Linked DNA regions of Xenopus tropicalis. Each later gene encodes a partner of the first gene's protein in a complex. Links are inferred from orthologs where the notes say so. Each region holds a gene or a part of one and is shown in the gene's direction. Other genes may lie near its edges.

Region 1 (4,206 bases):
TGGAGAGCAACATGTTGCTCACGAGCCACTGGTTGGGGACCACTGATGTATAGGGTGAGGGTATACACTGGCTGTACCTTGCGACATGAGACACAAGGAGTCTCTGTAATGTACATCTGCTTGTTAAGCAGATTTATAGTACATGTATTCTACAAAAAAATGAACCATGTACATAAGTATAAAAAATAACCTAATAGCAAAATGTCATGCTATTAATGTCCACTAACTGCTTACATGGGCAGGTCAAAGTCAAAATGTTTTATTTCAAGCACTATGCTTTTTAAGAATCATGCATTAAACGCTACAGACAAAATACTCAGGGACTGAAAACTGTACAGCAGCACAGGTCCAGTCTTCTTGAATGTTTGCAGTTCTCCTTTAGAGGCAGATCCCTCACCTACAAGAGTGTTGCACTGACCTGATCCTATCCAACCTACATGCACCCTCTTAAGGGAAGGGAAAAACCTTTAGAGATGCTTAATTTCACATGGATCTAGTTAGCAAAAAGATATTTGTTTTTGGTCAAACTAGGAAGGGGGAAGCTTAGATGGGAACTGTTCTTGTTGGCAACTATGAAAAATGTGGGTTTATTTGTTACCTGGCACAAATGGGAGCTCTCAGCACTGGGAAAAAAGATGACAGCTAGTGATGAGTGAATTTTTTCTCCAGGCATAGACACTTGGCAAATTTCTGCATTTCGCCATTGGTGAATTGTTTTGCGAGACTTCAAAGAAAATTTGTTGTGCATCAAAATAGGCACACTCGCATCTAAATGTGCAAGGGCGACAAAAAAAATCAAACACGTTTTGCAGATATTTTGCTAATTTTTCGGCAAAGCAAAACGGGACATATTCGCTCATCACTAATAATTGCACTTTTTATTTAAATATTGGGCTTGGAGGCTCTAGTGGTCGTGGTGCTATAGCTGCTAACAGAAAAACTGTTTTGTTGCCTGGCATATGTTTGAGTTGTAGTGAACAATAAAATTGCACTTTTGCACACCTCCTAATGTCTATGCACTGGCCTTATACGATTAACCCTAGAGTTGCTGACTTTCCCTTGAGCCACAAATAAAATGCAATCAACTCAGCCGCCACTTAAAACAAAGAAAGAACGTTTATTACAAGAATGCTTAATTGTTTAGGTTCGGATCCCCTGTAATTATTTTTGTATTATTGCTAGCAGCCACCATGGCAAACCGCATTTATTTTTTGATTTGTCTGTGACCTGCACATAATAGAACTTATTTCTACAATCGTATCCTTCACTACCCAACACCTTTCTCGATTCTACCTCCTCCGCACACTCCACAACCGGCTGAGTTTCGCGTCACCGCGCTTATATAACTAAAGTGTGACGTCACGATCCCGCGAGATGAGACTGTGATGTGACTCTAGTGAGAGCGGGCCTTCTGGAACCGAGGAATTGGACGTCAAAACGGCGTTGTGAATCCTTTAAAGAGATTATTATCAACACTTAATTAAGAGGTAGCGTTTCTGGGTACAGACACATTACCCGATATTGTCAATCTATGAGATCAGTTAAAAGGAGACACGAACGGCCGGAGATGTATGAACATGCCGAGTGACACCATAATAAGTCCCAGTAATAGCTCACAATGTTGCACAGGATAAACAAAGGATAATAGCAAATTGGGAGATCGATAAATAGAGCAATTATACGGGTGGAAACCCCTCTAAACATGAAATTACATTTTTCTCGGCCTGGGCTCAGGAGGGATTGGGGATGGAGCAGAGTCATTGAGGCTATTGCTGTAATAACACATTTTCATCCCACCTCACAGCTGTATTTATTCTAGTGATGTGGCAGGAACACAACACAATAGTCGCGTATTCATAGCGTATCTTATTTAAAGAGGGTACATTTCTCAGAAATATCTGCTTTTTCCTCAACTAATATTGCCACATATGATAGCAGCAACATATGTTAACCCACATTTTGGTACAGCACGTCAGAGCTTTGGTCAGATGGGAATGTATGAAATGAAACCCCTTGAATCTCATTCAGACTCAATACATGTGATATCTAGGTGTCCTTGTGAGCTCCTGGATCCAGTTTTATCCAACTGCACTTCCACAGAAATGTGACATTTGCACAAAGCTAAAATTTCACTCCAAACACAAAAAGTGTAATGAGATAAGGCTGTTGGGAGGAGGACAGCATCAGTGAGCCAATGCATTCCATATCTATAGATTTTTAAAGAGTAAAGGGAAGTTAATCTTTAATTTCCTGCTCTGGTACAGGTAATGTTTCTCTGGCAGCATATTTCAGGAGAAACAGTCTATACTTCTCCATACTGCCTGTTACAACCAAGATTTTATGTCCCAGGATTTCAAATTTTCCCGGAATTTTAATGTGGTCCCTTTCAGGCCACCTGCATTTTTTTTCTTTCTCAGATTTAATGTTTACCTGGAATGTATGCTGTTCTGATATGGCCCCCTGGGAAACGTAAAAATGGGGTTCTACTGCAAGACAGATTTAATAACATACATAGAGAGCATTTTTACTCTTTGGTTGTACTGGCTCTATATTTTTTTAATTTCATCAAACTGATAATTTAAAAAGTAAAGGTCCCCATACACTGGCAGATCCGCTCGCTTGGCAATGTCACAAAGCGAGCGGATCTTCTCCCAATATCCCCCACCTACGGGTGGGCGATATTGGGAGAGTCCAGGGTAATCCGATTGTTTGGCCCTGGGGCCAAACTATCAAATTATAATGACGGGCAAAGGTAAAGTCGGTCCAGGGACGACATCAACGAGCCGATGCGGTCCCCGATCCGACTAGATTTTCTAACCTGTCCGACCGAGATCTGGCCGATTTCAGGCCAGATATCGGTCAGGCAGGCCCGTTGGAAGTGCCGATACACGGGCCGATTAGCTGCCGAATCGGTCTAAGGGACCAATATCAGCAGCTACTATCGCCCAGTGTATGGGGACCTTTAGTCTTCCAACCATCCTTCATCTGTTGCTTCTGTACTTTTTTTGTGTTCTAGATATCACTTCTACTCGCTAAAAATGGCAGAGACAGATGTAGATAATGAACTACTGGACTATGAAGACGATGAGGTGGACAACCAGGCTGGAGTGGATGCTCCTGACATAACTGTCAAAAAGGAAATGAAGGGATCATATGTATCCATTCATAGCTCTGGTTTTAGAGACTTTTTGCTCAAGCCTGAGCTGCTTCGTGCCATTGTAGATTGTGGCTTTGAACATCCATCAGAAGGTAAGAGAAGGGAAATGGGAATCTGTTAAAACTACAAAGGTCTGGTAATGTTGTCGCTGAGTTAAAATGATAGTTGGAGTGTTAATTCTGGTAAAATGAGAAGCTAAGTTTGGCATGAGCATATAGCTCATATTTTTGTATATCATCTTCTAGGTTTAGTAATGTGATTATTGCAGGATAAGTTAAGCACATACTTCCACCCCCCCCCCCCCCCCATATAGTCACACAAAGGCCACCTTCCCAAAGCACTAGGCATGCTCTCAGTGCTTCTATTTAAAATGTGTCCCTGTATGTGACACCACTTCAGAGAATTCATGTCAGAATGCTGTCACTGTCATTTTTTTTGTATATTTTACATATGAAAATTTTATTTACTCCAACAATTCTTGTCAAACCCACTGCTAAAGTAATTAATATACCAAATATGTATAATTACTGTATTTAAGAGTTCCCCAGTAGTATACTTTTTTTAATGAAGCCACTCCTGTTAAATATTTGTTCCAGGAGACTGCCTGGCAGGATGATAGGCACACCCTGTGCCTTTATGCATTTTGTTTCCTAAAGAAAAGTTTTAGACATCAGCTAAATGCTGTTCCTGTATAAATAGTCATCTCGTCCACTAAAAAAGCAAAATTAAAAATAACACAATTGTTGAAACCAGAGCTTTGAGCAGCCAACATTGTTGACAACTGGTGTTGCCCTATAAATGGTTTACATGGAAGCCCAATTTTTTTTTTTTAATCTTTGTTTAAAGTCCCTGTGTGTGCACTCTATTCTTCATTTACATAAACTCCTGGCCAGCACCTGGGGCAGTTGATTGTTTGTAGGGAGTGCTCCTTTTGTTTCTTTTATTTATTTATATATATATATATATATATATATATATATATATATATATATATATATATATATATATATTGAATAATCAGTCTACTACATGGCATATGTTTGCACTTC
Region 2 (4,095 bases), about 52 Mb from region 1:
CTGTGCCTAGCACCTCTCTGTGTATATACACCAGTCTGCCCCCTACGCTGTGCCCAGCGCCTCTCTGTGTATATACACCAGTCTGCCCTTTCTCTGTGCCCAGCACCTCTCTGTGTATATACACCAGTCTGTCCCCTTCTCTGTGTATATACACCAGTCTGCCCCCTTCTCTGTGCCCAGCGCTTCTCTGTGTATATACACCAGTCTGTCCCCTTCTCTGTGCCCAGCGCTTCTCTGTGTATATACACCAGTCTGCCCATATATATATATATATATATATATATATATATATATATATATATATATATATATATATATATATATATATATATATATATATATATATATATACCAAATCAAACACAACCAGCACCAAGGGTCTTGTGGTTCAAACAAATATTATAGTATTATAATTGCATGTACAACTGACGTTTCGGTCCCTTTTGGGACCTTTAAAAAGGTATATATATATATATATATATATATATATATATACAGTCCAGAGTGGGAGGCACACCATAAAATGAGAGTAAACCTAGGTGCCAGAGCTATAAAATCTGTAGATAGGTAAAGAATGTCGGCACTCTTAGGATTTCCACAATAAGGCAAAAAAGTAAAGTTTTTTTTCAAATGCAAGCGGTGAGATTTATTGTTTCCAACGTTTCAGTCCTTTACTAGGACTTTCGTCAGGGAGTGCAGGAAGGCAAAGACATTGCACTCCCTGACGAAAGTCCTAGTAAAGGACTGAAACGTTGGAAACAATAAATCTCACCGCTTGCATTTGAAAAAAAACTTTACTTTTTTGCCTTATTGTGGAAATCCTAAGAGTGCCGACATTCTTTACCTATATATATATATTTATATTGAGAGAGAGATACAAGTTGCTAGTAAGCTGCACACCATGAGAAGAAATAATACCTGGGGGTGCCAGAGAAGGTGTGTGTGTGTGTGTGTGTGTGTGTATATACATACACACACACACGCAAGGTTAATATGATGCACTGCCCCCAGGCCCCTGCCGCTACACTAAGCTAAACCCCTGCCTGTACAGACATTAATCCTCTAGTAGTTATGGAGCTTGTACATGGATACGGGGTGCAGGAGCAAACCTACCTCCCTATGCCATGCCAGCCTGATGCCAGATACCTCTGTTACCGCAGCTGTTGACTGCTGATTCCTAACTCCGCCCCACACTGCCAAGGCAAGGGCGGAGATCCGGAAGCTTCTCACTGGCATTATTACATCATTAGACCGCGCCGGAAGTTTACATATTCCGTAGTGTCCGGGTTCAGCAGCGGGGAGAAAGATGCCTGGGGGAAGAAACTTTCGGAGGCGTAAAGCCTCGTCGTCAGATGAAGAAGCGGAGGCTGAAGAAGTAACTCAGGAGGTTAGGTAGGTTCTCGTTATATTTCTGCGACTCAACAGTGAGGATACTCGAAGTTGTATTCGTGTGAAACGTTACCTCAGGCCTTTTTTTTATTCCAAGAACGCGTTACTATGGATACCAATTAGCCATAAACACATTGTTGGGAGGGCAGACTTGGGGGTCTGCTTTTTCTATAGGTGTAACTAACTAACCCCCTTCCCCATCACTGTTCTACCTGAGCGTTAGTGGGCAGAGATAGGGGAAGTGAGCAGTGTCGGGCTGGGACCCAGGGGCCCACCAGAAAACATTAGACCCTCGGCTCACTCTCCAAATTATTTTTTTCTCAACCAACCTCTGCTAGTCTCTTTTATTTACATGCCAATATCTATTCTTCCATCTATTTCTCTTCTTTGTTTTCATTCAGCAATAGGGTATGACCGTGAAGTAGGCCAAATGGTAGGAGCAGGAGGGCTCACTGACACCTGTGCCCACCAGGAGTTTCCTGGTAGGCCAGTCCGACACTGGAAGGGAGGGGCAGGGTGTTGGTTTGTGAGGGGAGGGTGGGTAATGCCCTCTGGGGGGCCCTGCGTGGTCTGGTAAGTCAATACAGGGTACAAGAATGTGTTTACTTAACAAGCACATGTGGGCCGAGGAATGCGCGCACACACACACACACACACACACCATATGTAGATTCAGCACTCCTAAGCGTGGTCAAAAGACCCATGTGCTACCAATTAAGCATTAAAAATAAAAAATCTAGTGAATATTGGTGCACACCGGGAATCATTTAAAAAAGTAGCCTTTATTGTAGTAAAAAAAAAAAAAAATAAAAAATATATATATATATATATATATATATTTTATTATATATTATTCTCTTATTAATACCCTGTTTGTATTAATGTATTCTACTGTACAGCACTGCGTACATAAGTAGCGCTTTATAAATAAAGATATATATATATATATATATATATATACATATACATATACATATACATATACATATATATATATATATACATATACATATACATATACATATACATATATATATATATAGAAACAACAACAAGAGATCCTCTGCACTCACCCATTATCAATATATAGGACATTAAGACATTCAGTGCATTTAAGCTACTAAGAAATGCCCTTCCCTTTAAGCAAAACAGGGATTGTTTGTCCATATATTGCAATATACTTCAAGCTGGCCAACTGGGTCAAAGTCATCCCTTTTGACCAGTTCCTACACTGACTTATGCGATTCATTAAGAATTCTACTGCTTCAATATACATTTAGCCAAGGGACTAAGTTTTACCTGCAACTTTCTTGCTTTCAAGGTTAAAATCCCCATATGGTTGCCCTTTTATTGGCTCCACTGGGATCACCTGACTGCAGCTGGGAAGGGTGGGAGCTACAACAAGGAGCTGGCCACTGCTCCTGTATAAGCTATAGTAAAAAAAGGGAAAGTTGTTCTCAACCACTAAATTTTAAACCATTAAAATATATATATACACACACATACAGTCATGGCCCAAATTGTTGGCACCCCAGAAATTTTTCCATAAAATCAAGTATTTCTCACAGAAAAGTATTGCAGTAACACATGTTTTGCTTTACACATGTTTTGCTTTACACATGTTTATTTCCTTTGTGTGTATTGGAACAGAACTAAAAAAAAAGGGAGGAAAAAAGCAAATTGGACATAATGTCACACAAAACTCCAAAAATGGGCTGGACAAAATTATTGGCACCGTTGTGGATAAATAAGTTTGTTCCAAACATGTGATGCTCCTTTAGGCTAATGCCACACGAGGTGTAGGGCGGATATTTTCGGCAAGCTTAAAATCGATTGCTGAAAATTCCGCCCTACGCCTCCTACATGTGCCTGCACCCGAATGAATGAGATACGCTCTGGTGCAGGCACATGTAGCCGATATACGCATGAAAAAGCGAGACTTTGCATTATCTCGCGACATTTAAATGAAATGAAGCGCTATGGCAGGAGACCCAGGAGGACCCCACTGCTGACAGTGCCGCCATCAGAAATTACAGGGCCCCTCACAACAAAATTTTCTGGGCCCCCCTCTTCCCACGCCCCCAATGGCCCCTCACCCAGTGACCCCTCCCATCAGTTTCCAAGCAGCCTATGCAATAAAATGTCTCTTTAACAAATGGCACACACTACACAGAATATAAATGAGTTTTATATTTGTTAAATCACATTTATTACTATTATTATTAATTAATACAGTATTGTTATTAATACAGTACAGAAATGCTTTCTCCCCCCCCCCCTCTGCTGTGTTCGAAACAACCAGCCACACCTAGCGATTAATTACTGACGCCCTGGAGGCTCCGTACGCTGTAAGAGTAACTGAGTGTAGTTAACAGACCGAGAAACTATATGAGGAGCAAGTGGTTGACATACTGGGTGTGGGCTATGATACAACTTTGGTTAACAATTCTTAGATTGCCGAGCGAGAACTTATTGATATGCTAGTTGAGTATAATCACGGCCTTAATTCTGTCCCTTGAAGTGTAAGTAGGTTGTGTTACAATTGCGGGCTAAGTTAAACATACACTCTATATTAGCGGTGCATTGTGATTGCAAAATACGGGACGTAAAGTGAATATATTTCTGCAGAGATCTGTGGTGGGGATGCGGCTTCTGTGATTTGTCGTATAGAGGGCAGATGTACTTACATCGAGTTCGGGGTATACG
Region 3 (4,060 bases), on another chromosome or scaffold:
TTATTGGGGCAGGTAGACTAGATTTTTTACTTAAAAAATTTTAGTGTTACTTTTCCTTTAATAGTAAGACTGCATTGTCCCCTTAATCACTTAGGAGAAGGAAATCTTCTCGGCCCCCCCTTTGCTTTGCCCCTTTGCTTTGATTTCTGGCTTGTGGGCATGCTCAGTTGTTCTAAGCTCAGATTACTAAACACGCCCCCCAGTCTAGCAGCCAGTAAAGAGATGGCATTGCTGGCTCCCATAGAAACTCAGCTCTAGCTGTCTGCTTCAATTTTTTTCTCCTAAACTCAGCTCAAACAAAGCAGAACTTTTATCAGAGACAGTTCTGCCTGTGTGGGCCTGTATTCTTGATGAAATGTATGCTGAATAAGGGTGTGTGTGTTTATGCTGTTTGCAGATTTAAATGTATCTGATTATGTATCAGAGGAAAATGGCCACCGGGTGAAAGCTGCTATTTGCTTTAGGAAAATGTGATGGTGCTGGCAAACTGAGGGGATAAATGCAGTATAAATGATGCCATTTGGGCGGGGGAGACGTGCCCAACTGATATACATTGTAGGCAAATGTAGGCTTTACATGTCCTTTAAATGCAAAAGTAAACAAAGGGACATATAACAATCACTTAATATATGTGTGATTTTGCAGCCAAAGATAATTCTCCACAATATCATTTACTACTGATAAATCTTTTGCTAAAACAACGGTCTACCTGATAAGATTGCTCACAGGACGCTGACAAAATCTGCCCATGTATGCCCATCTCAACACAAACTATGCAATAAGTATATGTGAAGCCATAAATATCTTATGACTGCTCCCTTAATTGTACACTATAGCCACTCACCAGTGTACCAAGAATTTACATTGTTTCCCCCGTTTTGTATTATTTTTCCTTTATCTGTTATACGATGAAAAGGCAATAAAATGTATGTAAAAAAATAGTAAGCCATCATATAGGTTTTAACAGAAGAAGAGCAGCTTTTTGTGGATCTTATAGTGTCTGTATTACGTTGACCGCTGACTGGGTGTGTAGTAGTTTGTTAGGTGGAGCTTTAATTTAGCCCCCCCGCTAAAACGAAATGTCAACAAACCGAAAATAACAATACGAGTTCGAGACATAGTCGCTGCAGCTTAATGACGTAACGGAGTCGCAGAGTAATTACACGCTGCTTCGCGTCCAACACAAACGCACTGCGCATGCCCAAAAGCCACTCGGCGGATACAGCGTCAGAGGCTTCCCATAATGCTTAGGGAGGAGGACTAAAGATGGCGGCGAATCCGAACTCAAGCAAACCTATATTTGAGTGCCCGAGCTGGTAAGTAAAGGGGAATTAAAAGGCGCAGTAGTGCGTTGCTTTTCGCAAGTTAACATGAAGAAGGTAGAAAACAATGTTGGCAACTAGAAGTCAGGAAAAGCAAGACCGAAAATGCATTTAAAGCTACTGGGTATTCTAGGAAAACATACTAGTGATAGACACGCTGCGGCCCTCCTGCAGCTGCTGCTGATATACAATCCCAAGCATTCCGTGATAGCCAGGAGATGCAGGCAGTTCTTTTTCCTTTAAAGTCGGGGGCCGAAGATTATAGTTGAATGGAACAGTGTTAGTATAATGAGAATTAAAGAGATAAATCATGGCTCCGACAGAGTTTGGATCTTAGCACACTACCATATAGTGAGCATACCCTGGTGTGCATGTACTTACAGGGGATCTCCACCCTAAACAGTTTTTTGCATAAGAAAACAAAATGTTTTTCTAAGCAACATTCATTGATAAATTTGTAATGGTTTTGTAAATGTAACATCTGCAAGGAGTTTGCACGTTCTCCTAGTGTCTGTGAATTTCCACCAAGTACTTGGGTTTTCTCCCACTCTCCAAAAACAAACAAAGTGGTTTCTGATTACATTTACTGTAGTGTGTGTGATTGTGTTAGAGATCTATATTGTAAATTCCACTGGGGCAGGGACTGATGTCAGTGATGTATAATCTCTGTAAAGCACTATGTATATGTGTGTGTGCTATATAAACAGCAGATAATAAATACATTGTTTATTTCTTTCTCTTCTGATTCTGATATTTGAAACAGTGTAGTACAAGTCAGTTTCCTAGGTTTGTTATATCAACTGGCTTCTATTACATCACCTCCGAAGTCAAAACCAGTAGTGCAGAGAATATAAACAGCCAGGCCACTGATACTGATTTCAACAGCAATTTGAATTTCTAAACAGCTCTAAAGCCACTAAACTGTTAAAAGATTGTGCAGAATGACATTTCTTCCTTTATGAAAAAACATTTTTTGGGTGGAGTTTTTCTTTAAAGGACATGTAAACCCCTACACAAAAAAATGTAATCCGTGAACAGCCTTTCTGAAATCTTTCAATACCTGCCACTCTGGTTGTCCAGAGGCTAATAATAAGGCTGCAGTATCCCCTTAACCACTTAGATTTCCTTCTCCTCCTGTAACTCACTAGCCCCCCCCCTCTGGAATTTTCTTTGATTTCTGGCTTGTGGGCATGCTCAGTTGTTCTAAGCTCAGATTACTAAACACGCCCCCCAGTCTAGCAGCCAATGAAGAGATGGCATTGCTGGTTCCCATAGAAACTCAGCTCTAGCTGTCTGCTTCAATTTTTTTTCTCCTTAAATCCTCTCCTGAGCTCAAACATAGCAGAACTTTTATCAAATTAAGAAAATGTAGGCTTTACATGTCCTTTAATCTCTCAGAAACTCTGCATAATATTTAGGGCTCTCGTCAGTTCTTCAGTGTATTTTTTTTTAAGAGTTCAGTTAAAAATTCAAGTTATGAAACCGTAAGTTCTGGAAAGGAAATGGCATGTCTTGGCAAATTATTTTGTTTTCTTAAAAATGTAATTGCTTACATCCACTGTGGGTAAGGAATGCTCAGGAAATATAAAGTAGGATGGACCGTGTAGTCCAGCTATGCTTTAACAACTTTTGATAAATGACCTTTATAAAGATATTTTGTTAAAGGGAATGTAAACCCCCAAAAACTGTTGACAAAAATTGTATTTCTAAGCATCTTTCCAGTGGCTTCACATTTTATTAAATATAAGTGCTATTGAAAACAGTTCATTTCTGTTCTCTGCCCCGGTAGTTCTGACTTGTAGGATATAGCTGAACATACATGTAAACATCTATTTATTTGGCAAAGTTACCAAATGAACATATTTGCCCAACTTGGTCACCTACCGGCTAGGCCAAATGAGACAGAAATCTTTAATTTCTCTGAGCAAATGATTGGACCACATCAGTGCAGTCCTCACCAAATGGTATTTTGAAACCAAACTGATATCTCTTTGGGAGGCAATCAGCCAGGGACCCATACACATGCAGATAAGTTACTGAAGTCGGAAGGGGCTAAATCTACCCATGTATTGCCAGCCTAAGCCCGCTGGATAACAGACCTGTGATGAAGCATATAAAGCCGCTTTCTGTTACATTGTTTAATTATCCTGGGCAGGTTGTGGGGACAAGCCAAAGAACTGAATTAATACCAAGACTGAGGATTTCAGAAATGTTGCACTACTATAACAATGTACCCTCTTTACATTTAGGGCAGGGAAGCCACCCCAGGGTCTGCACCTTGATGTTGTGAAAGGAGACAAGCTCATTGAGGTAGGAACATTAAACCATGTATATGCTTTCGCTGAATGTTTTAAGATGTAAAGGTGCCCATGAAGCTATTCTCATACATTGTTAGGCCAGTTTGGATATTTGTAATCAGATCATCCAATATGAAGCGTGAGATAGGGCTATCGCAAATCTTAGACATGAATGGTTCCTTGGCACTGGTTATAAGCACACCAACCTTCATTTTTAATAATAAGCACAAAACATTAGCCCAGTAACCCTGGCGACTGTCTTCACAGCTAGGAATATTGATTGTTGGTGTTATATACAGTAAGTAGCGTTCCACTTCCAATCTGTTTCTCTCTCTCTCTTATATATATATATAAGAGAGAGAGAGAAACAGATTTGCAGAATTAGTGGAAGTGGAACGCTACTTACTGTATATGACACCAACAATCAATATTCCTAGCTGT

Evidence for each region.
Region 2: ddx39b (region 1) and c9orf78 share a complex: the UniProt entries of both Homo sapiens proteins name them as parts of the spliceosome. The link is inferred for Xenopus tropicalis from reciprocal best matches to the Homo sapiens genes DDX39B and C9orf78.
Region 3: ddx39b (region 1) and ppp1r8 share a complex: the UniProt entries of both Homo sapiens proteins name them as parts of the spliceosome. The link is inferred for Xenopus tropicalis from reciprocal best matches to the Homo sapiens genes DDX39B and PPP1R8.

Annotation. Positions count from the first base shown.
Region 1 is NC_030684.2:74,210,165-74,214,370, reverse strand, and holds the start of ddx39b (spliceosome RNA helicase DDX39B), read left to right. Parts: upstream 1-1,406; 5' UTR 1,407-1,487; intron 1,488-3,016; 5' UTR 3,017-3,038; coding exon 3,039-3,249; intron 3,250-4,206. UniProt on the Homo sapiens protein: Involved in nuclear export of spliced and unspliced mRNA. Component of the TREX complex which is thought to couple mRNA transcription, processing and nuclear export, and specifically associates with spliced mRNA and not with unspliced pre-mRNA.
Region 2 is NC_030684.2:22,434,139-22,438,233, reverse strand, and holds the start of c9orf78 (uncharacterized protein C9orf78 homolog), read left to right. Parts: upstream 1-1,295; 5' UTR 1,296-1,306; coding exon 1,307-1,392; intron 1,393-4,095. Other genes in the region: usp20 (ubiquitin carboxyl-terminal hydrolase 20), read right to left, coding at 1,114-1,236. UniProt on the Homo sapiens protein: Plays a role in pre-mRNA splicing by promoting usage of the upstream 3'-splice site at alternative NAGNAG splice sites; these are sites featuring alternative acceptor motifs separated by only a few nucleotides. May also modulate exon inclusion events.
Region 3 is NC_030678.2:79,518,937-79,522,996, reverse strand, and holds the start of ppp1r8 (nuclear inhibitor of protein phosphatase 1), read left to right. Parts: upstream 1-1,260; 5' UTR 1,261-1,266; coding exon 1,267-1,316; intron 1,317-3,571; coding exon 3,572-3,632; intron 3,633-4,060. UniProt on the Homo sapiens protein: Inhibitor subunit of the major nuclear protein phosphatase-1 (PP-1). It has RNA-binding activity but does not cleave RNA and may target PP-1 to RNA-associated substrates. May also be involved in pre-mRNA splicing.